2 linked regions of the Solanum lycopersicum genome follow. The protein of the gene in region 2 interacts with the protein of the main gene of each other region in a biochemical or structural test. Links are inferred from orthologs where the notes say so. Each region holds a gene or a part of one and is shown on either strand. Other genes may lie near its edges. The genes, in order: HY5 and protein FAR-RED ELONGATED HYPOCOTYL 3.

Region 1 (13,163 bases), on a different chromosome or scaffold from region 2:
TTATCATATTTGTTTCTTTTAGGATACATTAATTAGAGTCAAAATAAAGGTGAAAATAATTAACTTTATTTTTAAGTAATGAATTTTTGTGTTAAAGTAGGTCTTTTTAGTAAGCATACTCAATATAAAATATTAGGAATTAATTAAAATAATAATTAAATAGAGTAATGAATAGATATCACAATAACTCATAAAAACGGTGAAGTGATAACAAAATGTGTTAATAGAAATAACATTAGTTTCTTGTTATTATTCTTGGTAGATATTTGTACGTATGGAATTATAGTTTTACCCTTGATCACCATTTACTTTCATATACAATGGGATGTTTGTAGAATTATTTGTTTCTCTTGCTATCTTTATTAATAGATTTTTATAAGTATAAAATTACATTTTTATCCTTGGTCGTCCTACCCTTCACTCTTCTATATAATAGACTAGGATCTAGGAGGGTGGTGAATAAGCAATTTCTCTACCCCTACCTTGTGAAGGGCAGAGAGTTTGTTTTCGATAGATCCTCAGCTCAAGTAAACATATTAAAATAGAAGAAGAGAGAAGAGAAAAAGCTCAAATATGTCATTAAACTTTCAGAAAAGGCTCAGTTATGCCATCAATTAAAAGTTTAACTCATTTATGCCACTACTGATAAAGAAAAGACTCATTAATACCAGTATATTTTAACAATGGTTTTGCAAAATCATTTTTGACACGTGGCCAATTATAATTTAGTCACGTCGTCAATTTTATTAATTGAAAAAAAATAAAAAAAATAATTCAATTCTTTTCAGAATTTTGATTTTTTTATTTAAAAAATTGATGACGTGACCGAATTACAATTGACCACGTGTTAAAAATGGTTTTGCAAAACCACAATTAAAAAATAATGGCATGAATGAACCTTTTCTTGAATGGTAATAATATAGATAAGCCAAACTTTTTTTAACAAATGACATAAATGAGTCTTTTCTAAATGTTCAATAGTATATTTGAGCATTTTCCCAAGAGAGAAATAAATTAGAGGACTCCGTGTTAAAATGATGGGAAAAATATAAATGTGGTAATGTGTGTTGAAAACATCAATGTAGAAACTTCGCTGCAAACTTAAAGTGGATCCCTATAATTTTCACAAAATTAAAAAATACTTCAATACACAATTTAATATACATATAAATTTTATTTTTATTTTTAATTGATTCCACCTAATATTATACTTGATATATAATTATAAAGAGCTAAGCATAATATTATTTATCAACTTTCATATAATAAATAGATATCATAATAACTCATAAAAAAAAGAAACAACAAAAAAGAGGTAATACTAATAATAATACCTAAAAATGTTTTTAGAACTATTTAATTTTCTTATCATCACTCTTCGTAGATTTTTGTTTGCATGAGTTACATTTTTACCTTTGATCACCATTCACTTCACATATAGAAAGATGTTTCTAAAATTATTTATTCTTGATAGATTTTTATTAGAATGAAATTATATTTTTATTCTTGGTCATCTTTAATACAAATATATCATCCTATTTATTTTTATTTGTAAAGTTACTTTTAACATCTTTTTCTTTAATTTCAATCTAATATATATTATTAATTTTATCACACAAATTTATTTTCAAGTATATTAATTAGATAAAAAATAAAGATTGAAATAACTAATTCGTGACATTTTTATAATAAAAGTAGGTTTTTAAAGAAGCATAATGAATAGAAAAATTATTAAGAATAAAATTAAAGTAATAGTAAAATAGAGTAATAATAAAGTAGATGGCACAATAACTCGTAAAAGAAATAAAAAGAAAATGAAGTAATAATAAAGTAGATGGCACAATAACTCGTAAAAGAAATAAAAAGAAAATGAAGTAATAATAAAGTAGATGGCACAATAACTCGTAAAAGAAATAAAAAGAAAATGAAGTAACAATAAAATAAGTTAATGGTAATAACAATTACTTAAGATGTTTCTAAAATTATTTAATATTTTTGTTAGCGTGAAATTACATTTTTGCCATTCATCATTATTCATTTCAAATATAGAAAGATAATTCTAAAATTATTTATTATCTTTCTTCATAGATTTTTGTTAGCGTGAAATAAATTTAACACATAATCGACCTATAATAGATATCACAATAACTCATACAAAATATGAGTTGATAACAAAATGTGAATAGAAATAACATTAGTTTCTTGTAATTATTCTTGGTAGATATTTGTAAATATGAAATTGAAGTTTTACCCTAAGGAATTTAATTTGTATATATATGATAACGTAAGGAATTAAATTTATACATATATGTAATTGAAAAATAATCAAATAGGACTTCACCTCTTTCTTTTTGCTCTTTGGACCTAAATATTTAGGTTCGTCATTTCTTTGTTTTTATTGTACATTGTCAAAGGAGCAATCAGGTTTTGGATCAATTCCATTGCATGTATGCAAACCTAACAATTTAACTAGTTAACACAATCAACGAATTTTAGGTTAAGACAAATTTGAATGTACCTAATTGGTTTTCAATTGCACAAATTCTTTTACACCGAGTCTTATCAGTACATCGATTTGGTTTTTAATAAAGATTTCAACTCACTAGGGAACGCTAGCAAAGGTTATAGGTAATTGTAGCATATATCATCCAAGATTAGTCCATGCAACTTACCAAAGGCTGGTGACTTTAAGAATAGCTTAGCCACAATCCTTCACTCTCTGCTGATAATATATAACCGACAACGGTTAAGAGTAGCAAGTATGCAATGCATCAAATCAGAACAATCCACCCGAAACTAGCATGCATTCTCAAATCCAGAAGAGAATTTCTCTTCAGTGCCTACATAGGATCTAAACAAGAATGCTGACATATCGACATAAGATCGATCATATGTCTACTTCCTCCCTTCCTGTGCACCTGCTGTTGTGTTCTTCAGTATCTGCAGATTATAACAAAAGAAGTCAAACCCCAAATATACACCGTTTTCTTTTTGGCCATCTCTGAAGAAAGCAAATTTACAGCATGGAAAGATTGAAGCATTTGAATTCCTTTTTGTGTGGTCTTTGGAGATTCTTATAGGCGGATTGGATATGCAATATGAAATCATGAAAGTTGATGTTTTGTCAATCAGGTCAATGGCATTCCAACAATTAGATGTTTAATCATGATAAATCCAAGATTTGACTGATAGTCACATAGAGTTGTTATTTCTAAGTTGTCTTTATTGATTTTCAGCAAGACTCATCTTATAGTTATTCTACTAGATAAGTACCAATCTTAACCGGCAAGAGGGGAAGTGTATAAGAAAGGGTTAATATGAAATAGCCACGCCTGTGACTTAAATACAGGCTGAAAGATGTGTATAGATACAACACATGCTCAAGGTCGAAATTTATAGGAACCGGTTACTGGTATTACATGTTCATGCAGACAAGCCTTGAGAGTTTTACCCAAGTAATCTCTACACTTCCCAATTAACATGAGCGTAGTTCTTAGATTTACTACAAGGTAATAACTAAGAGTAGAAAGCTGACATCATATATCATGGATGATTACGCAATTCTTTACATCTCTCGCTACCAGATATACTATGGAAGATACAAGAACACTTCATTCATACATTATATGTTCAGCTTAAATGCTCTGTACACATATGATGGGCAGTATAATGCATATTGGGGAATATAGAAGGTGAGAAAGCTTCCATGCTTTGATCTATGTTCATACGCTAGTACATTTCTACTGCACATAAATTACATAATACTAATGTAACTTCAGGAGGCTGAAGTCACAGCATATTGTTGATAATTCATAGTTTGTCTCCTCGTCTTCAATGTTTAATAAATAATTGATGGGACATAACAAAAGCCCGATATAAGAGTGAGCTAAACCAAAGAAATGACTGAGCTTATAAATTGTTTCTGGATAATCCCCCCATTCATCTAATTTATTTTTAAGGCTGCTTTCCCGCACCTTAACTAATTACCCGAGATACCTATCATCACCTCCAACCAGCATCAAATACCAGGTAACTATATTCACCAAGGCTAGAACATACAGAAACAATCACCTAGTAGCTCTTTTACTCTATTGAATTTGAACTTGAGATCTCATGGCTCTCAACTTCTTCATTGAACAATAGACCACAACTTTTGGTGCTATACTCTATTCAAGTATATTGGTCCGTTATCCAAGAAAATGGGGTGATTGACGAGGATGTCACTCACTGTATTGGTGCAACGTGTATGACATAGAGACTTGCATCTGAGTTGCTAGTGATAAGAAGGTTCCACCAAAACATAAAGAGAAATTCTACATAGTGACGGTTAGACCAACTATGTCGTATGGGGTTGAGTATACAGGGGCATATCTAGAGGGGGTGTCATGGGTTCACATGAACCCATGCTACCATCTCTAGATCAAATATAATAGTGTTATATTTTAAGAAAAATATTTAAATATAGATGTGTGAACCCACAGTTAAAGTATCGTATAATAATATGATGACGATGATTGGGTGCACCTCTGTGAGGATAGAAATTAAAATCTTAGATATCTATCTTGTCTTTTTAAGTAGCACCTCTACAAGTAGTTATTGGTTATATACTTTTAGCGTTTTAACTAATTTTTCTTCTTTTTTTTTCCTTAATTTTTTCAAAAATTTTGAAGTGTATTACATTAAAAATTCCTAAAAAATATTTTATATGTATAATTAAATCAAATGTGTGCATTAAAATTTAAACTAGTAGTATTATATATTTTGCACCTACAATTTTAAAAGTTTAATGGTTTTATATTAGAAACTTTAAAGTCAAATTGATCAAATTTATATTTAAGATGCATTTTATTCGTAATTGTGCATCCATTTTGCCGAAATCCTGAATACGCCTTTGCAAGTACATGTAGTTGAGCACTCTCACGTTCAAAAGATGAAAGTTGTGGAAATGAAGATATTGTGATGGATGTGTGGACACATATACTAGGAGATATAGAATAAAATCAGGACAGTTGAAACAAGCTGAGTGTGGTTTCGAAAGAGAATAAGATGCGGGAAGAGATTCAGATATGTGAAGAGAAAGATGCACGAATGTAGAAATGCGGGGGGAGGTGAGAGTTTGGCTGTGAATGGATTCAGTAGAAATAGAGGTAAGTGGAAGAAGTATCTGAATAGTAATTAGACCGGACATGGCACACGTTCAAGCATATAGGATATATAGATGAACAATTCTATTGCAAAAATAGAAGTAGAGAGAAGAATGTTTACATGTCTAAGCATTTGGTTCTCATTTTGCAAAGTAGACAACCTCTCTTCAAGTTCTGCATTCTTTGTTTCCAATTCCTTCACCCTTGCTTCCAGATCTATCAAATATGCTTTCTTCCTCTCCCTTGCTTGTTGTGCTGATACTCTATTTCTCAACAATCTTTTTCAACCCCACCAAAAAAAAATACAATATTAACTAAAATGCCACTGCTATCCAAAAAAAGAAAGTGTGGAAGCCCATAACATGTGACAAGTAGATACACCTACGTGGCATGATGTTTAAGGTTTTTACCTTTTTAACCTTTTGTTTTCTTTGTCAGCTGGGCTTCTTCCTCTCTTCCTTTGAGTCCCAGCTGATGGTTGAGCTTGACCGGCGGCCGATACTCCATCTCTTCCAGAAGCTGACGTTGTCCCCGTCGCTTCTCCGCCCATCTCCGGCACTCTTCTGATCTCATCATCACTCTCCATACCTTCACAAAAAAACACAAAATGTTTTTTAAAAACTATTTCAAAATCTCAACCATACCTAACCCAAAACAACACATTCTTCAAAAAATTACTCCATAAATTCGTCAAAATTAAATGTTAAAAAGCTGGATTTAAATTTTTTTTAAAAAAGATTACCTTCTTTGAGTTCATGATGTAAAGCTGAACTAGATGATCTCTCACTACTTGAAGGTAGTGAACTAGCGGCAATAGAACTCGTCGCTTGCTCTTGCATTTTTCTCTACACTTGAAAAAAACACTAAATTAAGGGAAAAGTACAGTTTCGTATTTTATTCAGAAAAGAAATAGCGGGACATGAATGTTAAACAAGGAGGGGAGAGAAAGAGAAGCACCTCTATGGAATAATAATCGTTGGATCAGTTTCATATCGGACGGATATAAAGAGGTGATCGTGGATGCTTTAGAAGCCATAAGTTGTCGGCTTAATCAAAGGTTCATACGTAACTGTCGTGGACAAATGGCAGCCTTTCGATTTGATAGTATTAACGGCTATGATTAATTATTCTTAAAACTTTTAAGTAGGTACAACGCATCGGGACCATTTATTTTTGCTGGTTTAATAAAAAGTGCTATTGTTATTACCGTTTTGCCCATGATAGATATTTTATCCACTCCATCTATCCACTTTCAAGAATTTTTTATACTTTCCCCGTCTCTTATTTATTTATTTATTTATTATAAATCAAATATAATTAGAGACGTTAAATAGGTTGGTCCAATCAAATTTTAATGGATTAGAGAATTGTTGGGCGGGTTAGTTATTTAATTAAAGGATCAATAAAATAACAATTTAAATCAGTCATAAGCAGGCCACGGATTGGAACGGATTGACCCTTCAACCAAAAAATAAATAATATTATTCTCTTAAAAAGAATATCGAATGTTTATGTCTATAAACACGACATCAATTTAAATAAAAAATCCTTTATAAATGACACACTTCGGCGAATACTCACAAAAATACATTTATGAATCACACGCTTTGGTGAATACTTACAAAAATACATAATAGCCAACATAAGATTTAATGGATAAATTTTGATCATTCCATCATTTCTCCCACAAAAAACTAGTTTTCAGCAACAAGGCAGCCTAAATACTTAACAAATCTGAATCTCTAACTATTACATGACTCATTAATTAATGTTTTACAACTCCGCTTTAATTTCCACCGTCGAACATATTTGAATCAACATGTGATATTATTTCCTTAAGAAGTCCATCTTCATCTACACCAAGAATATGATATTGCAAAATACTTGATTTTTTTATTTTTGCAAAATATTTAATTATTAATGAAATCTTTACAAATAAAACATTATTAAAAATATATATATAAATATTTTTAAAAATTAATAGCCCACGAACTCGACTCTGAGGTTTACAGGTTGGATACGAGGCCAACGGGGCAAATGGGGCGAGCTAAAAAAGTCTCATTTATAAATGAGTCAAAAATATTAAGCTCAACCCAACTTATTTCAAGGTTGGGTTGGGCTGGCTTCGTGGGTCAAGCATTTTTTTACGGCTCTAAATATGACCCGTAGCTCCATTATATATATATTTATATATTATGAAATATATATGTATTAGCGTACGAATTTAATATTTATTCATAAATTAATTTATGTTATAAATTCATTGAATAAGTGGATAGTCCATAAAGTTAGTACATGAACAATCATTCATATTCACTAGGTTTCATAAACCTTTTTGGATAAGAATGTATCTATTTATTATGATACTTAATATGGTGACTTTTGGAGTGATTTCTCACTTTATAAATAGGGTTGTTCATTCACTATTGTAGGACACACATATGATACTTACATATACTTGAATAAGAAAAAGTATTCTCCTCTATCTTATACTTCTTGTCTTCTTCTTCTTATATAATATTCCGAGCTTTCTTTATAATACGTTACCAGCACGAGTCTCTTCCAGTTCAAGTAAAGACTTTAAAAGCCTCGGAGGTATAAATTTCCTTTTCTTAAATAATGTCTAATCTTTCTAAACTTGGATTTCTTGCTGTAGACATATCGGGAAAAAACTATCTATCATGGGTACTCGATGCAGAAATTCATCTTGATGCGATGGGTCTACAAGACATCATCCAAGAAAATAATCAAGCATCGAATCAAAATCGTGCTAAGGCGATGATATTTCTCCTTTATCATCTTCATGAGGGTTTGAAAATGGAATATCTCATTGTTAAGGATGCTCTGATGTTGTGGAACAATTTAAAAGATAGATATGACCACCTGAAGTTGGTCGTCCTTCCACAGACACGTTATGACTAGATCCACTTGAGACTTCAAGATTTTAAATCTATTAGTGAGTATTACTCTGTCATGTTTAAAATTATCTCACAATTAAAATTATGCGGAGAAAATATCATTGACCATGATATGCTGAAAAAACGTTTTCCACTTTCCCTATCTTGAGTATGCTTCTGCAGCATCAATACCGAGAATTGAGATTTAAAAAGTATTCTGAATTAATTTCACATCTCCTTGTTGCTGAATAACATAATGACTTATTGATGAAAAACCATGATAGTCGACCTACTGGTTCTATGCCATTTCTTGAAGTAAATACGGTAAATTTTCACCAATCTAAGCGTGAAAAAGGTCGTGGCCCCAGTCGTGACCGTGGTCGAGGAAGAAATTTCAATCATGATGATCGTCTTGCACTAAATAATAACATTCAATACCAGCAGTGTAAAAAGAAGAATGAAAAACATGACGTAGTGCAGAAGAAAAATTCAGACGACAAATGTTATCAATGTGGAGGAAAAGCACATTGGCCACGTACCTGTCGTACGCCAAGGCACCTGGTTGAGCTATATCAAGCTTCCCTGAAGGAGGTAAAAAATAACGCAGAAGCCAACTTTATCATGGAAGATACTGTTGAACCAATGCATCTAGATGTAGCGGATTTCTTTGAGAATCTCAAAGGAAAGATAGATCACCTGATAGGTGATGGGTCTGTGATAATGTAAATATATTTTATTTTCGTCGTTTATATGAACTAGTATAAATATGTTTTCCTGGACTTGTAAATAACTAAAAGGGTGTGTAATGTTTTTGTTTAGTAATAATATTATAATGTTTATTTCTTTTATATCTTTTATCTTGAAGAGTATATGGATACCTCAATGATCAATCATGAAGATATTTGTGTAATTAATAGTGGAACAATGCACGCCATATTCAAAGATGAGAAATACTTCTCCTACTTGCTTAGAAGAAAAGCAAATGTTACTACAACTTCTAGTAATTCAAACTTAATAGAAGGCTCCGGAAGAGCTACTATATTTCTGCCTAAAGGGACAAAACTTGTCATAGAAGATGCTTTGCTCTTTTCTAAATCCCCAAGAAACTTGTTAAGTTTTAAAGATATTCGCCGAAATGGATACCATGTTAAGACAATAAATGAAATGAATGTTGAATACCTTGGTATTACCATGATTGTCTCAGACCAGAAATATGTGTTGGAGAAATTATCAACTTTATCTTCTGGCCTGTATTATGCAAAAATAAGTACGATTGAAGCACACTCTATCGTAAACCAGAAGTTTACTGACTTAAAGACTTTTCTGATTTGGAATGACCGAATAGGTCATCCTGGATCAATAATGATGAGACGAATCATTAAAAACTCAAATGGACATCCATTAAAGAACCTGAAGATTCTTACAAATCATGAGTTTTCGTGTGTTGCTTGTTGCCAAGGCAAATTTATTACTAGGCCATCACCAATGAAGGTTAACATTGAATTCCCTCAATTTTTAGAACGAATATATGGGGATATTTGTGTACCTATTCACCCATCTAGTAGGTTGTTTAGTTATTTTATGGTCCTAATAGACGCATCTTCTAGATGGTTCATGTCTACCTCTTATCATCTCGCAACCTGGCGTTTGTAAAATTATTGACACAAATGATTCGATTAAGAGCGCAATTTCCAGATTATCCCATTAAGACAATTCTCCTTGATAATGTTGACGAGTTCACATCACAAGGTTTTGATGCTTATTGCGTATCAGTATGGATAAAAGTTGAACATCCTATAGCTCATGTTCATACTCAAAATGGCATTGCTGAGTCTTTTGTTAAGCGTTTACAATTGATAGCAAGAGCTCTACTTATGAAAAGTGAGTTGTCTACTACTGTTTGGGGTCATGCTATCTTACATTCAACATCACTTGTTCGTCTCAGACTGACTCATTATAAGAAATACTCCCCATCACAATTGGTATTTGTCCATGAACCAAATATTGCTCATCTTCGAATTTTTGAATGTGTTGTATATGTGTCTGTAGCACCACCTCAGCCCACCAAGATGGGCTCTCAAAGAAGTTTAGACATATATGTTGGGTTTGATTTACCCTCCATAATTCGCTACCTTGAGCCATTGACGGGAGATTTATTCATTGCAAGATTTGCAGATTGTCAATTTGATGAAATAAATTTTCCGCAATTAGGGGGAGATAAAAAGAAACTGAAAAGTGAAATTGCTTGGAAAGTTTCATCATTCTCTCATTTTGATCCACGCTCCCCTGTGTGTGAACAAGAGGTCCAGAAGATCATCCATTTGCAAAACATAGCAAATCAAATGCCAGACTCATTTACTGATTCAAAAAGGATAACGAAGTCACATATTCTTGCAGTAAATGTGCCTATCCGAATCGACGTTCCAAAAGGACCATCTACAAGTGTCATAGCTTCTGAATCACAAATACGCCTGAAGCGTGGTAGACCACTGGGTTCAAAAGATAAAAATCCTAGAAAAAGAAGTACAAAAAATGACACTACAAAAGAATCTCACGAAGAAATTCAAGATCTAATTAATTCTGATATTTCTGAAGAGATCAGTGAACCCGAGACTCAAGTAAATGAAGAACTCTCAACAAGTTCTACAGGTGATGGGATAAGTTTAGTTCGATCAATATGTTTTCGTATATGATGTTGAACTTAACATTATGCAAGGAAATGAGGATCTTGAACCTCTATCTATCAAATAATGTCGACAAAGATGTGATTGGCTAAAATGGCAAGAAGCAATTCAATCAAGATTAAATTCACTTGCTAAGCGTGAGATTTTTGGACTAGTAGTTCAAACGCCTAGTGATGTTAAATCAATTGGCTATAAATTGTCACGACCCAAAACGAGTCACGAGTGGCACCCACATTTATCCTCTTATGTGAGCAAACCAACCAATCTAAACCCCAAATCATTTACCAATAATTGAACCATAATGAACAGAATACAATGCGGATGATTTAAAACTCATTAATGAAAATAGATTAATAACTTCTAAACACTCAATACTTATTATTCCCAAAATCTGGAAGTCATCACCACAAGAACATCTATCCTCAAATTACTAAATCTAAGAGTATGTAAGAAGCTAAAATAAATAAACAGCTAGTCTGTGCCAGAACTTCAAGGCGTCAAGACGTGAAGAAGAAGATCCAGTCCAAGCTAGAAACAATAGCTCACCCTGAATTCTGGTGTGATGAAGACTGGCTAGAGTTGAGAACGAGTTGAAGACGATGGCACGCTTGCTGCACTCCACAAATAACAAGAAAAACAAATACAAGTAGGGGTCAGTACAAGGCACAAGTACTGAGTAGGTATCATCGACCAACTCAAAATAGAAAGCAATATATATCAGATAATAGTATAAAATCAACCGTAACACTTAACAGATGACAACAACAAGTACCATAACCATTGGCCACAACCCAAGCACATCTATGAGGACTCAAGCCTCCACACCATACTCATTTGGGAAATAGGTTCTTTAGATTGAGTATATTAACATATTTCAAGATTCATTATTTTTACTATCCTGGTGTCGGAACGTGACACTCCGATCCTCCTCATACTATCCTGGCGTCGGAACGTGACACCCGATCCACTACTACTATCCTGGTGTCGGAACGTGACACTCCGATCCTCTACTATCCTGGTGTCGAAATGTGACACCCGATCCACTACTACTATCCTAGTGCCGGAACGTGACACCCGATCCACTACTACTATCCTGGTGTCGGAACGTGACACCCGATCCATTAACCTCATTCTTTTAGTTCATCAAACCTTCTTTTATACTAAGGCATCATCATTAACAGAGAGGTTTTAAGGTTTAAATTTCAACAGTCTCATCATGCTAATTCATTACAATTACATAATCACATCATGCAAGCATACAATTAAGCATATAGAAGACTTTACAAAACTACCCAATACATATGATTCGGTATTAAGAGTTTACTATGAAAAGCATAAACCATAACCTAACTCCACCAGAGAATCGTGATCAAGAAATCTACTTCTCCAATGCTTTGCTTTCCTCTTCGTTTCTCCCCTCTTCTCGTTCGTTCTCCCCTCTTTTCTCTTTTCTTTCTATTTTTCCTTATTCAAACTCTTTTTCTTTTACCCTAATTACCATATAATTAAGTATAAAAGATGATAAAAGTAACCCACTATTTATTCCAAGGTTGTCTCCTTTAACCCTCAAGTAATTGAATTATTAACATTAACCCACTAACTTTATAATTATAAGCAGGAATAGTCCAAAACGCTCATTAAAAACTTTTAACAGAAATCCGACCCAGTCAGGATTACGCAGTCTGTGACGGCCCGTCGTGCCTGCGACGGTCCGTCCTGCTGAGTCGTCACAGAGTTCAGAGACTCAATTCTATTTAAGAGGTCTATGACGGCCCGTCTTGCCTGCGAAGGTCCGTCCTGCCATTCTGTCGCAAAGTTCAGAGAGTCGATCTCAGTACCCAAATTTTCAGAATCTAAGTGTTTTGGAACGAGACCCCCTCGACGGTCCGTCGAGGGATCCGTCGACCCAGACAGTTATTACCAGAATAAACTCTACTTCTCAAAACGACTAAACAGGTCGTTACAATAAATACCAATTTACCCATCGTTCGTCCTCGAACGATCACCGGAAGAAAAACAAGGGCGAGAAAGAGTACCTGAGTCTGTAAAAAGGTGTGGATATTTTTTTTGCATATCAACCTCCTTCTCCCAGGTGGACTCTTCAACTGGTCGATTCTTCCACTGAACCTTGATTGATGCAATCTCCCTTGACCTCAACTTGCGGACTTCTCTATCTAAGATAGCAACAGGCTCCTCCTCATAAGACAAATTCTCATCAAGCAGAACTGAATCCCAACGAATGATGTAGTTTCCATCCCCATGGTATCTTTTCAACATAGACACATGAAATACCGGATGCACTCCTGACAGTCCTGGGGGCAAGGCTAATTCATAAGCTACCTCCCCCACGCGCTTCAGAACTTCAAATGGACCAATATACCTCGGACTAAGCTTACCTCGCTTACCAAACCACATCACCCCTTTCATGGGCGAAACCT
Region 2 (12,867 bases):
TAATCACCATGTAAATAATAAAAATAGTGACATAATACTTAGTTGTTCAAGGACAAATATGATCCAAAGTTTGATGGTAAAAATTAAATATATCAAAAAAGTATAGTCCCTTTTTAAGAGTATAAAAATAAATATGACCCTTTTTCGTAGAAAAAACGAAAAAAGGATAAAAAGAATATCCTTTTAACTCTTCAAAATAGATGGTATTTACTCTTTGTTTGTTTTTTTAACTTCTATCTATTTTTTGGACCACATTACTCTTAAAACGTCATACTTGCCATTGAACCTAACATGACAGTATGATAATTAAAACAAAAAACAAGTTGTCCTTCAACTACTGAGAATTGCTCTAACACATTTATGCGATGGTGGGTCTTATATGAACAAGTGATTCTTACCTAACATGCTGTAAAATAGCTCATGATGTGTATTTGCATTATTTGTAATGGAACACAACTTAGTTACTCTATATTTTTATATTTCCATTTTTGTTCTTTCACGTGAAGATAATAGGGGATGATTATATTGAGGGTTTAAAAGAGATTTAATTACTTATTCGTTCATCTTTACTTGTTATTTATAGTTAACATACTTCTTAAGAAATAATATATAGAGGGATAATTCCTATTAAGGAATATTAGACAGGTAAAGATAGATGGGAGATATTATTTTTCGGGTAATGCTAAATGGCCAGAAAAATTAAAAAATTTATAATATTTTTTCAATTTTAAAATAAATTAATCTTTTTTTTTAATTTTTTAAGTTAAAAGATATTAAAGTTAAAATGATAAAAATATGTAAAACCATAAAATAATATAAATAATATTATTCCGACCAAATTTTCTTGCCAAAATTATTTTCCTTGTTTTTAAACTAATGGGATAGCTTCAAATAATGCAAATTCAATAGGTTCTAAATGCCAAAAAGACAATTGACCCAATTGTCATGTTCCCTTCAATTAATGCACATTTAATACGTGATGAATGCCAGAGGTAGTTACCACAATTGCCATGTTTAAACAAGAAAATCGTTCACAGCGTTTTATTAATTAAAATATAGGAATATTCCTTTACTTTACTTTACCTACTAAGAAAAGGGAATAAGTGTATACACGGGTCTTTGTCAATCTGTGTCCAGCTGGAAATTAATTTTCAATTTATTAGGGGTGAATTAATTGAACCAAATCTATCTTAGTTGTAATCAAAGAACTCTTTTGTTAGGTTTTTTCTTTGATATCGTGTTTCACCAAGAGGATCGCGTTTTCAATTTTTGTATCTTATTTTTAGAGTGTCAAAACGAACTTAGCTTATGAGATCGGTTCGATTCAACCTGTTATTAGGGTGGGGTTATGAAAGAATTTTTCAAATTCATTTAAAATAGGACTTATAAACCCAATTCATATAAGTCTTTCACCTTTGAGACTTGATTCAGGCCGGAGTCGGTTCATGAGTCACAACTTTTTATTTAAGGGTAACTTAAAATAATCTTACTTGTATATAATTATACTTAATACACACTATGTTGTAATATTATGAATCTTATTAGATTTTGATACATCCAGATACATGTATCTCGAAATATATGTACTCAAAATTAGGTTAATTTGTTCTAGATACACTCTATCCAAGTGATACATATGTATCTAGGATACATAGACAAATTTTGCGCCCTTGATTTCCCTCATCTTTCTTGTCACTGTCTTATTTTGCTCGCGTATCTGCTAGACGAGGTACATGCTAATTACACCAAATTTGTTGCTAGTATTATTAAAACAACACCATTGTTTGTCATATTTGATTTGAAAAATATTTACATTTTCTTGATATTATAAATTATAAGTTTGAAAAAAAGAAGGGCTAGCCCGCCCCAGCCCTCGGCCCTTCTAAGATTGGATTAAGCATTTTTAGGTCCTTCCAAATGAAGGACCAACCCACCCTAGCCCTTCGAATTTCTTGACTCACGAGGCTTGGACCCGATGAAGCTGGACCGTCCCTTTTTGATAGCTCTACCGTGCCATGGGGCTTGTTTAATTTTTTTGTTGTCACAAGATTTGCTAATCATATGCAACAATTTGTCCTCGTTGGGTATTTTAGTAATTGGACATACATGAGGTAGTTTGATAAGGCTAATAAAAGGAGTTGTTGTAGCTGCCATTTAATTTTTTGGATCTGCGTACGAAGTTCGTTTAGTTTCAACATAATAAAGTTACAAGTCTTTGAGTTTTAATTTATTTTTGTTATTTTAACTTAAAATTAAGAATTTTCAAGTATTTTTTGGGAAAATTATGACTAGTTAAAATTAGAAATTTATTTATGAAAAATAGCTATAATTTAAAAATAATTTTAAAAATAATAACATATTATTTTTATAGTAAACTTTTTTCGTCTCTCCCTTGCCTCTCCATCCTCTCTCTTTCTCTCTCTGTATCCAAATTAAAGTTTAGGCAAAGAGAGTAACCAATAAGGGCTTATTTAAGTGCATTTAAACTAAAATAATTTTTAAATAGTTTCATGGTATTTTTGCAAGTTAAATAAAGGAAAACTTTTAAAAATAGCAAACAATATGTATTCTATAACTTTAGTTTGCTAATTACGAATAATAGCACAATGATAAGAGATGAGAAAGGAAAGAGGCGAGCTAGATTTAGGAGAAAGTGTATTTTTTGCTAATTGTGAAGGAAAAGAATACAAAGATAAATTGATTTGTATCAAAATCAGTACATCATATTAAGAGGAGAGGTGAGCGAGATCGAGAGAGTAAGGAGAGAGGCGAGCGAAATCGAGAGAGGCGAGCATATCTATTGAGTAAAGGGAGAAGCGAGTGATATCGAGAGAGGGAGGAGAGAAGCGAGCAAGAGAGGGAGGAGAGAGGATTGTAGTTTGTATTTATTTTGCATTGTATTATTGATTATTTAGTATCAATTGCATTTGAAATACAACACATTGTATTTGTATTTATTTTGCATGGTATTCTTTATTTATTTTGTATCAATTATATTCAAATACAAGAAATATAATCATTTTCATCATCTCTTTGATTGGATACAAATACAATTGACAGTGAGGATGAATGCATATTGTATTCATACGAATACAAATATAATTGATACAGAATACAGTTTTTTTTAATACAATTGAAATAATGATACATTTGAATGAATTTATTCGTTGTATATAGTTATTGAGTTATTAGACTAATGAGGTTTTAGTGATTTTATTAAAAAAATAAAAAAAATATGGTTATCGATTTGATTTTGGTTTTATAATATTGAGTTATTGGATAAATCGATAACTCATTAAGATTGTAATAATTTACGATTTTACTCTTACATAAATATTAAATATTAATTTCAGTACCTTACTGGTTACTACTGATTTTGCCCTTTAGACTTTAATTTACACTTTCACATTAATTTTGAGTTTATAACTTTACATTATACAATACGTCAAAACCTTGTAAAAAATATGTCCTCTTCATTTCTCTTTGTGTTGCACTTGTGGCTCGTTTGTGTGAGGGATAAGCATAAATAGTTATGGGATAAAAAATTAGTCCTGAGATAAAATTTAGATGTTTTGTTTGATTAACATGTTTGAGATAATTTATCCCATCATTTATAACATAATAATGTAAAGTTACTTCATATACATAATGAGATAAGCTATCCGAATAGTTTACAGTTAATTTTGATTCTTTCTTGTGACGTTGGATTGTCATATCAGCGATCTAATAACTAATTAATGTGAATATTCGTTAGTTTGGAAGCGTTTGTGGTCCAAATAATAGATCAAAAAGATATTTTTGATACCAAAAGCAAATGGAGAATAAATATGAGATATTATTTTGAATAATTTTGAGGTAATTTGGATATTAAAAATAAAATAAATAATTAAATTTAATATTATCAATAAAATAATACTCTCACCCATACCCATTTTTTAAAGCTTGGTAGACTTTTTTGAGAAAAAAAATGGGTTAGGGAAAATTAAGAGCAAATTATAAAGTGAAAATTAATTTCTCTCAAATAAAGTAATCGTTCTAATAGGTAACCAGCTAAGCTATTAAGATTGTTTAGTTCTTCTCTAAATTAATGTGTTCTTGTTGTTGGCTGGGTTTTTCTTTCATTCTTTTTCCACTTCCTATATTTTCTAGTCTTGTACTCTCTCTATCTCTATTTACTTATTCACTTTTAGCTAGCGTTTGGCCATAGATATTGAAATATTTTTGGTAAATATTATTTGGATGAAAATTTGGGTGAAATTTTACCATGTGTTTGACCATAGAATTTGAGAAACATATTTCATTTTTTTAAGAAATATGATTTATACCCATAAGTTTTTAAAACTATCAAACTAACCATAAATTTGTATTACATAGCACAATAGAAATCTCATGTAACAACATTTATGACTTCCGCAACAAATTAACAAGAATCATTACAGTAAATATTCGTATAGTGAAAAGGTCTTGGTACTAATCATGATAATGAAAATACAACTAATATAAATTCGGGAAAAAAAAGAGAAGAAAACAAAAGGAAATAAATATTGCAATCACTGAAGAACCTATGCTTTCTCTCTGAAAGAGCTCAACCTATTCTTTAATATAATCTTCCCACATTTTATGAACAATCTCTTCTCGATGAGCTTGCATTTCCGAATCAGATGATCGAGAAGATGAAGCGATGTTGTTTCCCTGAGCCAATAGTTCGTCACTTTCATCAACAACCATATCATCATTTTCATATTCATTGAATATTCCATCACTACTTTGGTGTTCACGTAAAAAATTATGCAATACAGCGCAAGCAATTACTATTTTCACTTGCATGTCACATTCATAGTTGTTCATGCCTTGTCTTAGTATTCTGAATCTACTTTTCCACGCACCAAAAGTTCTTTCAATTACATTGCGCAGAGAAGCATGTCTATAGTTAAATAGCTCTTTTCCATTCTTAGGCTCTCTTTCACTTTCTCGGTAGTCCTGCAAATGATAGCGCATTCCTTTGAATGGAGCTAAAAATCCTCTTGTGTTCCGTAGACCAGCATCAACAACGTAATATTTATCTACCAAAATAAAATATTGAGTAAATTTTCTTATATTGAATAAAAATAGAACTACTAATTTATATACCATGTGATGGGAGATAAATGAATTAGTTGGTATTAATAAATATTATTATTTTTATAAAATAAAAAGTTAAGGGTAAAAATTGAATTTTTAAAACTTTCCAAATAATGGAATTTGTCCCAAATATTAGTTTTTTCTAGTATTTGGGAATTTGGAAAATTTGCCAAAAAAATTTACCAAATAATAGAAATGTGTATGGACAAACAAAATTTGCCAAGTTTTTTCCCAAGTTTGATGTGCAAAATCTATGGCCAAACGGGCCCTTAAATTGACATATCTATTAAGAAAGTAATGATTGACATAATAACTTTATCAATTTATCCCTACTAATAATGAAGTGGGTGAATTAAAAATAATTAATTAAACTCGGTTGATTTGTCAACATTAACAGCTAAAATAGATAAGTAAAAAGAGAAAAGAATAGACAAGTAATAAAGACATAGGAATCATTATTTTTTCTCCCAAGAGATGATAATATCATTTTTTTTTCTTTCGCAATGATAACAATAAAAAATAAAAACCAATAGTTTAAAGCTTTGGTTCGTCTATTGATTGAAAATGGAAAAGGAAAACAAACTATAACAGTAAATTGGTGTCATTTGGCCACTAATGTTTCTAAACATATATATAAATAATTTAAGTTATTGTAATTGATCATACAATTTGCACCGACTTGATAAGTACGAGAAATATTTCAAGTTTTTAAATATTAGAAAAATTTATTATTTGATTTTTAAAAAAATTATGCTAAATTTTCATATCATACGGAGAAGGGTCTAAAATGGTCCTCGACTATTTAAATTAGTACAAAATTATCCTACATCCATTTTTGGGCTTATAATACCCCTGACGTTAATCTTTTGATACAAAAATATCCTTATGTTTAATAGGTCATACTCATAAGGTGGATGAAGAACAATATTGTAACAAATCTCATAGTTTAAGGACATCTTAAGCCCTTTTCTGTTTAAATATTTTGAAATTACTTAATATATAAGCTCACAAGATTAATTTATTTTGAATGTAATAAATTACAAAAAAAAAAGAAGATAAATCATCTACTCTCTACACACTCCCCCCCTCCCCCCTCACTTCCTATCTCTTTCATTTATTTTTTTCTATTTGGATCTTGTTCATCATTTCATTTTTTTTTCAATTTATAAAAAATAAGAGAGAAGGAGGAAAATAATGATAACGTTCCTATAGAAATAATTAGGTCAACAAAATTTGACTTAATTAAGCAAATATGTACGAATACTACAATTTTCTTTTGTATATATCCAAAATTTAAAATAAAAAATTAAAATAATCATTTCCCCTATCCCCATCCTCATCTCACCTTGATAATAGTACAAATTAAAAAAATATAAACATGTGAGTTCATTTCAACTTTGAGTCTCATATATCCTAATTAAGAGTAACACACTAAAAAAATGAATAAAAAGAAAATAAACAAGACATCTAGTTGATAGAAAATTTTAATTTATACTAATAATAAAAATAATAACTTTCTTTTAGATGGATAATCAGTTGGGGTGAGTATGGATTTTAGTTGGATCCCCATTTATGATCTGAGTTATAGTAAATTGGAGGTTGATTTAAAATAGGCCAAGAAAAAGATATCATGAAAATTTATTTATTTATTTTGAATATTTTTCAAGTATATTATGTAAAAAAATTCTTAAAAATATAATTTTTATTATTTAGATGAGAATAATTTAAATTTGGACAAATCACGCAAAATAACATAATAATTAAATATTTAATAATCTTGAGAGAGCTCAAAATAAAGACAAATATGAATAAAAGATTAACAACGAGGGTATTTTTAGAATTAAAAAGTAGACGCGGGACAATTTTATACCATCAGGTACTTAAGGAGCATTTCAGGCCCTTCTTTGTTTATAAAATGACCGATAATTTATATTGGACTAATTCTAGTCATAGTTTGTTATATAAATTTTATATAGTTATGTATTTATTTTATATAATTTTATCCGAACTTGCTCTAAATTCACATTCAATTGCATATAGTAAAGTAGTTTTTTTAATACAAATTAATGCTACTTTTATTTTTGTCTTCTTTCTCTTTTTAAGATTCAAATCAATTGTGATTATTGTCGTGACATTTCTATAAACATGTTTGTTATAAAATGATAATATAAACTTATGAATAGTTTTAATAATTATTAAAATTTATGTGTATAAATTATTTTAAAAAAAATTAGGTCAAACGATTATCGATCATGGTCCATTGAGAAAGGAGTTGAACACATACTTGCTTTAAGCTAATCTATTTGGATTTCAAATTCCTAACGATCTCTTTCAAAATCTATTGCAAAAGATGAAACGCATGATAAAATTTCACTCAAGCCTACGAAAAAATGATTTGCAAAAATTATTTAGAATTCTTTTTTTTTTCAAATGCTAGCTAATATTTCTCTGCCCAATATCATTATTGGCTTGCACATTAACTTGTCATATTTGAATTTGGCACATAAATTAAAAAACAATAATTGACATAATTATTTTACTTCACAATCTTTATTAATTAGTATGTTTAGTATTAATTTTTGTCATTTTATTCTCATAGATAATTATTATATTCATGGTAATTACATCAATAAACTTTAAAAAATAAATAAAAAATAAGTAACTAATAATAAAAGTAAAATACAAAAAATAATTATTTTAACAAATAAAAACTAAAATTTATTTTTAGAAATGATCGACAAATAAAAAAGAGTGAGTAACAAACAATGTTGCATCAAAATTATTTAACCTCTTTTTTATTTCAACCATGAGAGTGTATAATACCACTTTAAATTTCCCCAGTAGCTTATTTACCATAGTAAAGTTGTTGAGGTCGAAGAAACTTTTCCTGATGCAACATGAATTTTTATCTATTGCAATATGCACATTTACAATAATATTTTTTTTTTAATTTTTTACTCGGTGTTTAATATTTATATTAAATTCTTGATTAATTTTGAAGTCATTTTTATATTGAAATCCGACTTATTTCGAAATCGAACGGGAAGGTCCCACATTAGGGTTAAATCAGTCCCTAGTAAAGGCAATTTCGTATCCAAAAGCAATTTAAATATATCTTATCTTCATAACATGCATTCCTTCGTACTGTCACAATTTTATGGGCCAAGAATATACCATCACTTGATGCTATTTTCAAGCTGCCAATCTCCATACATCATTTCTCTTGACAAACAGTTAGGTCGCAAATTGCAATTAAAAGCTAATGGATCCTTAAAGAACAATAACACTAAAAGTAACAAATATATAAAATATAAAAAGCATTCCATAAAAGACAAGAAGGGGCAGGTTGATCTTCTGCCTGCATGAGTTATTTAACTCATACTATATTTATTAGTAGTAGATATGGTAGAAAGTTATTAGACGTGTAGTTTATCTTTTTAGCTATTTATATCCATATTTATATATTAAGCAATAGTTTTATATTTGTGATGTTATGTGGAGTCCGTAGCTTAAAGGGTACAAAGTATTAACAAAAATTTCAAAACGGTATATAAAATTTTATATTAACCAAAACGGTAAAATCGCTGCATCAATAGCGACTTACCCCACCGGAAAAAGCAAAATCTCTGCCTTTGCAGCAATTTTACAAAATGTAATTTATTTATTTTTTAAAAAATAAAATCGCTGCCTACGCAGCGATTTATAAAAAAAATAATTCCAAATTTTTTTTTTAAAAAAAATAATAAGAAAATTGCTGCCCCTTTTTTTTTTAAAATAAGGAAATCGCTACTGGGTCAACGATTCAAAAAAAATTAAAAAAATAATTCCTTTTTTTTTAAAAATAAAAAAATAGTGATTTCCTTATTTTTTTAAAAAAAATCGCTGCCCCAGCAGCGATTTCCTTAATTTTTAATTATTTTTTTATAAATCGCTGCAAAGGCAGCGATTTTGCTTTTTCCTGTGGGGTAAGTCGCTGTTGATGCATCGATTTTACCGTTTTGATTAATATAAAATTTTATATACCGTTTTAGATTTTTTGTCAATATTTTATACCTCTTAGGCTCGTAACTCATGTTATATGCAGATATATACTATTTCGAGGCCCCACTTTCCACAATTAAAGTATATCAATTCTATACCATGGTAAATTATATGTGCGTATATACTCCAATAAAAGGCTATATAATTAGGGTTGATGGATGTGACACAATTATAATCAATTGTTAAATACATCTTTGAAATAGTGTTGAGATAATCTTTTTTTTAATGTATTGCAAAATGAGAAAACAAAACAAAATTGGCAAATCTGTGAGACAGTTTACCAAACATGCAAGAGACATTTTAACACTATGCAAATTTTGGCAACTTTTAATAGTTCTTGGCAAATAATAATTTTGGTAAAAATGGTGAAGATGATGAAAACATAAGTCAAATGCCTTAACTTATTAAAACACTATGGAGTCGTTTAGTTTGAATATAAGATAGAACAGAAAATCTTATTGATTGCTTTTGGTGTAGAAGAGTGGTGGAGCGAAATTTTATCAAGAGTGTCCAAGAGTAATGGTGTGTTTGTCAAAATAAGAGTCCGGAGCCTAAAGGGTTTAAAATATTAACAAAAATTCCAAAACGGTATATAAAATTTTATATTAACCAAAACGGCAAAATCGCTGCATCAACAACGATTCACTCCACATGAAAAAGAAAAATCGCTGCCTCTGCAGCGATTTTACAAAATGTGATTTGTTTTTCTAAAAAAAAAATGAAATCGCTGCCTAGGCAGCGATTTTAATTTTTTTATAAAAAATATAGCGATTTCAAAAAACAAAAACTAAAAAAAATTGTTAAATCGCTGCCTTGGCAGTGATTTAACATTTTTTTAAAATATGTTAATCGCTAAGCGATTTTATAATTTTTTTTTTAAAAAAAGTTAAATCGCTGCCTTGGCAGCAATTTTATTAAATTGCAGCGATTTAACATTTTTTTAATTTTTTTTAAATCGCTGCCTTCGCAGCGATTTTTCTTATTTTTAATTATTTTTTTTATAAATCGCTGCCTAGGTAGCAATTTCATTTTTTTTTGGATTTTTATACATCGCTTTTCACGTTGCTATTTCATAAATTGTTATATATATACTCATGATCATTACTTCAAGAGATCATTATTTCTAACTGAAGTGTGCTATTATGGGAGAGTATAGCCAAAATTTCAGTCATTTGAATTTTTTCTTATCGGATTCAACTAATAGATAAATAAAGTAATGTTTTCTTATTTCTTAAAACTATTTTTCTTATATGTAATATATTTATATTATTATTTTTATAGGTATGATCAAATTCAAAATGCAGTGAATTATTGTACACAAATCCTAAATAATAATGTTTTGGGTGATGAACGAGTTGATGAGTTGCACAATGATGAACCTTTCGAGCATGAATTAACAGACAGTGATGATATGTATGACGACGATGATGATAATGTGGATAATGCACCTAATGCATCCGTTGAAGCCCAAAGTATTAATTATCATTCTACAGCGATTACATACTTAGATCACACTGAGAAAATGCAGAAGATTTTATCTACACGAGAAATGACGGTGCCATTCGAACAACACTTTGGAATTCAAACAATCCTAAACATATCCAATCAGGTTTGATTGTTGAAAACTAAATATTTTGTAGTTGTTTATTTATTTATTTATTTATTTCATGTTGATTAATTTAATTTGTATATGCAACTAGATATGTTATTTATGAATAAGATGCAAATGGAATTTGCAATAGGAGCATATACTCTTGCTATTAAAAAAGAATTTCTTTGTGATCAATCAAAGAGTAAAAGTTGAAAAGTTATTTGCAAGTGTCATGAGTTAGGGTGTGATTAGATGATTCCATTTAGAGAGATTTCAAGCGGTATGTGGAAGACAGGAAAAATGGTTGAAACACATACTTGTCTTACAGATAACTATAAGAAGGATCATTTCAATTTGAATGATAACATGATTACCACTTCATTAATACCATATGTTATGCAAAATTCAGACATAAATATTAAGATGATCCGTGAAATTGTCAAAGGAAAGCATCACTATACTCCTAGTTATAGAAAAGCACAAAAAGGTCGAAGAAAAGCATTTCAAATGGTTTATGGTGATTTTGAAAGTTCATTTAAGGCATTACCTTGATACATGGTTGCACTACAATTATTCAATTCAGGCACTATTATTGAGTGGGAGCATCATTCTACAACAATGCAAGGTGAGCAAATTTTCAAATTTCTTTTTTGGGATTTTAAAAAAGAGCATTGATGGTTTCAAAAGTTGTAGGCCGGTCATTTCTATCGACGGCACACATCTTTATGATTTGTATGATATCAAATTGTTAATTGCGGTTGGAATTGATGCAAATGGAAATATTTTTCCACCTGCATATGGTTTAGTCGCACGTGAGAGTTTTGAGTCTTGGTCATGGTTTCTCAAGTTATTAGGGACACATGTAGTTTGTGAACGACAAGGAATTGCTCTTATTTCTGACCGTCATCAAGGAATCTTGCAGTGTGTTCAATCTTATAATTGGTTGAGTCCACCCAACACATATCATAGACTTTGTGTTCAACACTTAAAAGCAAATTTTAATTAAAAATTTGTAAATAGTGAACTTGAAAAACTAATGTTTTAGCTGCTACTGAGCAGCAGGAGAAAAAGTTTGTGCAACGGATGCAACAAATCAAAACATTGTGTCATGCAGCATATGAATGGTTAAATGAATTTCCTTTGGAAAAATGGACAATATATAAGGATGGTGGTTGTAGATGGGGTGCCATGACGACAAATGTGTCTGAGTCATATAATGATTTATTGAAAAAAGCTCGGGGGTTTTCTGTGACTGTCATGATTCGAATGACGTTCAAAGCTCTCGTTGATCGTTTTGTCGAAAGAAACAATCTTGCAATTGCATTACTTCAAAGTAATATATCATGGCCTCTTACGATAGATAAAAAATTTAATGATTATTATCAAAGAGCTCAAGGCACACTAATATGATGACTTACAACACAGGTGATGTACTTTTTGAAATTCTTACTTTTGCTCATGATGGTAAAGGTGAAAATGTCCACAAAGTTACTGCAAAAGGTAAGAAATGTTCTTGTGAAAAATGGAGAAATTATCATATGCCTTGTTCGGTAACTATCAAAATTTGTGGACTTCGCGGAATCGAGCCAAAATCTTATGTAAGTAAATTCTACAGTGCAAAATATTAAAAACGAACATACACTGAGACATTTAACCCAGTGGGTGATGAAATGTATTGGCCACCAGCACCTTTTAATTTAACTGCAAATACTGAATATTTGTGGACAAGTGGTACGCAATTAAGAAGCCGACTTAAGAATGATATGGATATAGCTCCGGCTCACATGACTAGAAAATGTAGTGTTTGTAAGGAGACAAGTCACTTAAAGGCACGATGTCCTACTCGATTTTAAATATTTTGTCTATGTTTTTAAGGTTAATGTATTTTTATTGTCTTGTTATTAATATTATGATATATCTTTTATATTTATTTGTTGACATGAATTTAATTTGTCTTGCTGCATTTTAAATATTGTAAGTATAATATCTTTATATTATTATTATATTATTGATTTGAACTCTATTAAAAAGTAATGATTTGACCTAACATAAAAAGTATTAATTTGACCTATGATTTAAAGAAAATATAAATCCTGCAAACTTGTTCAAACATA

The links.
Region 1: the proteins of protein FAR-RED ELONGATED HYPOCOTYL 3 (region 2) and HY5 form a complex in vitro, tested with the Arabidopsis thaliana proteins (2 studies listed by BioGRID). The link is inferred for Solanum lycopersicum from reciprocal best matches to the Arabidopsis thaliana genes FHY3 and HY5.

The regions. Positions count from the first base shown.
Region 1 is NC_090807.1:48,170,627-48,183,789, forward strand, and holds HY5 (transcription factor HY5), read right to left. Parts: upstream 6,046-13,163; 5' UTR 5,984-6,045; coding exon 5,887-5,983; intron 5,733-5,886; coding exon 5,555-5,732; intron 5,423-5,554; coding exon 5,266-5,422; intron 2,941-5,265; coding exon 2,896-2,940; 3' UTR 2,508-2,895; downstream 1-2,507.
Region 2 is NC_090806.1:59,059,402-59,072,268, forward strand, and holds the start of protein FAR-RED ELONGATED HYPOCOTYL 3, read right to left. Parts: upstream 6,180-12,867; 5' UTR 6,114-6,179; intron 4,999-6,113; coding exon of another isoform or gene 4,591-4,998; intron 1-4,590. Other genes in the region: uncharacterized protein, read right to left, coding at 4,591-4,998.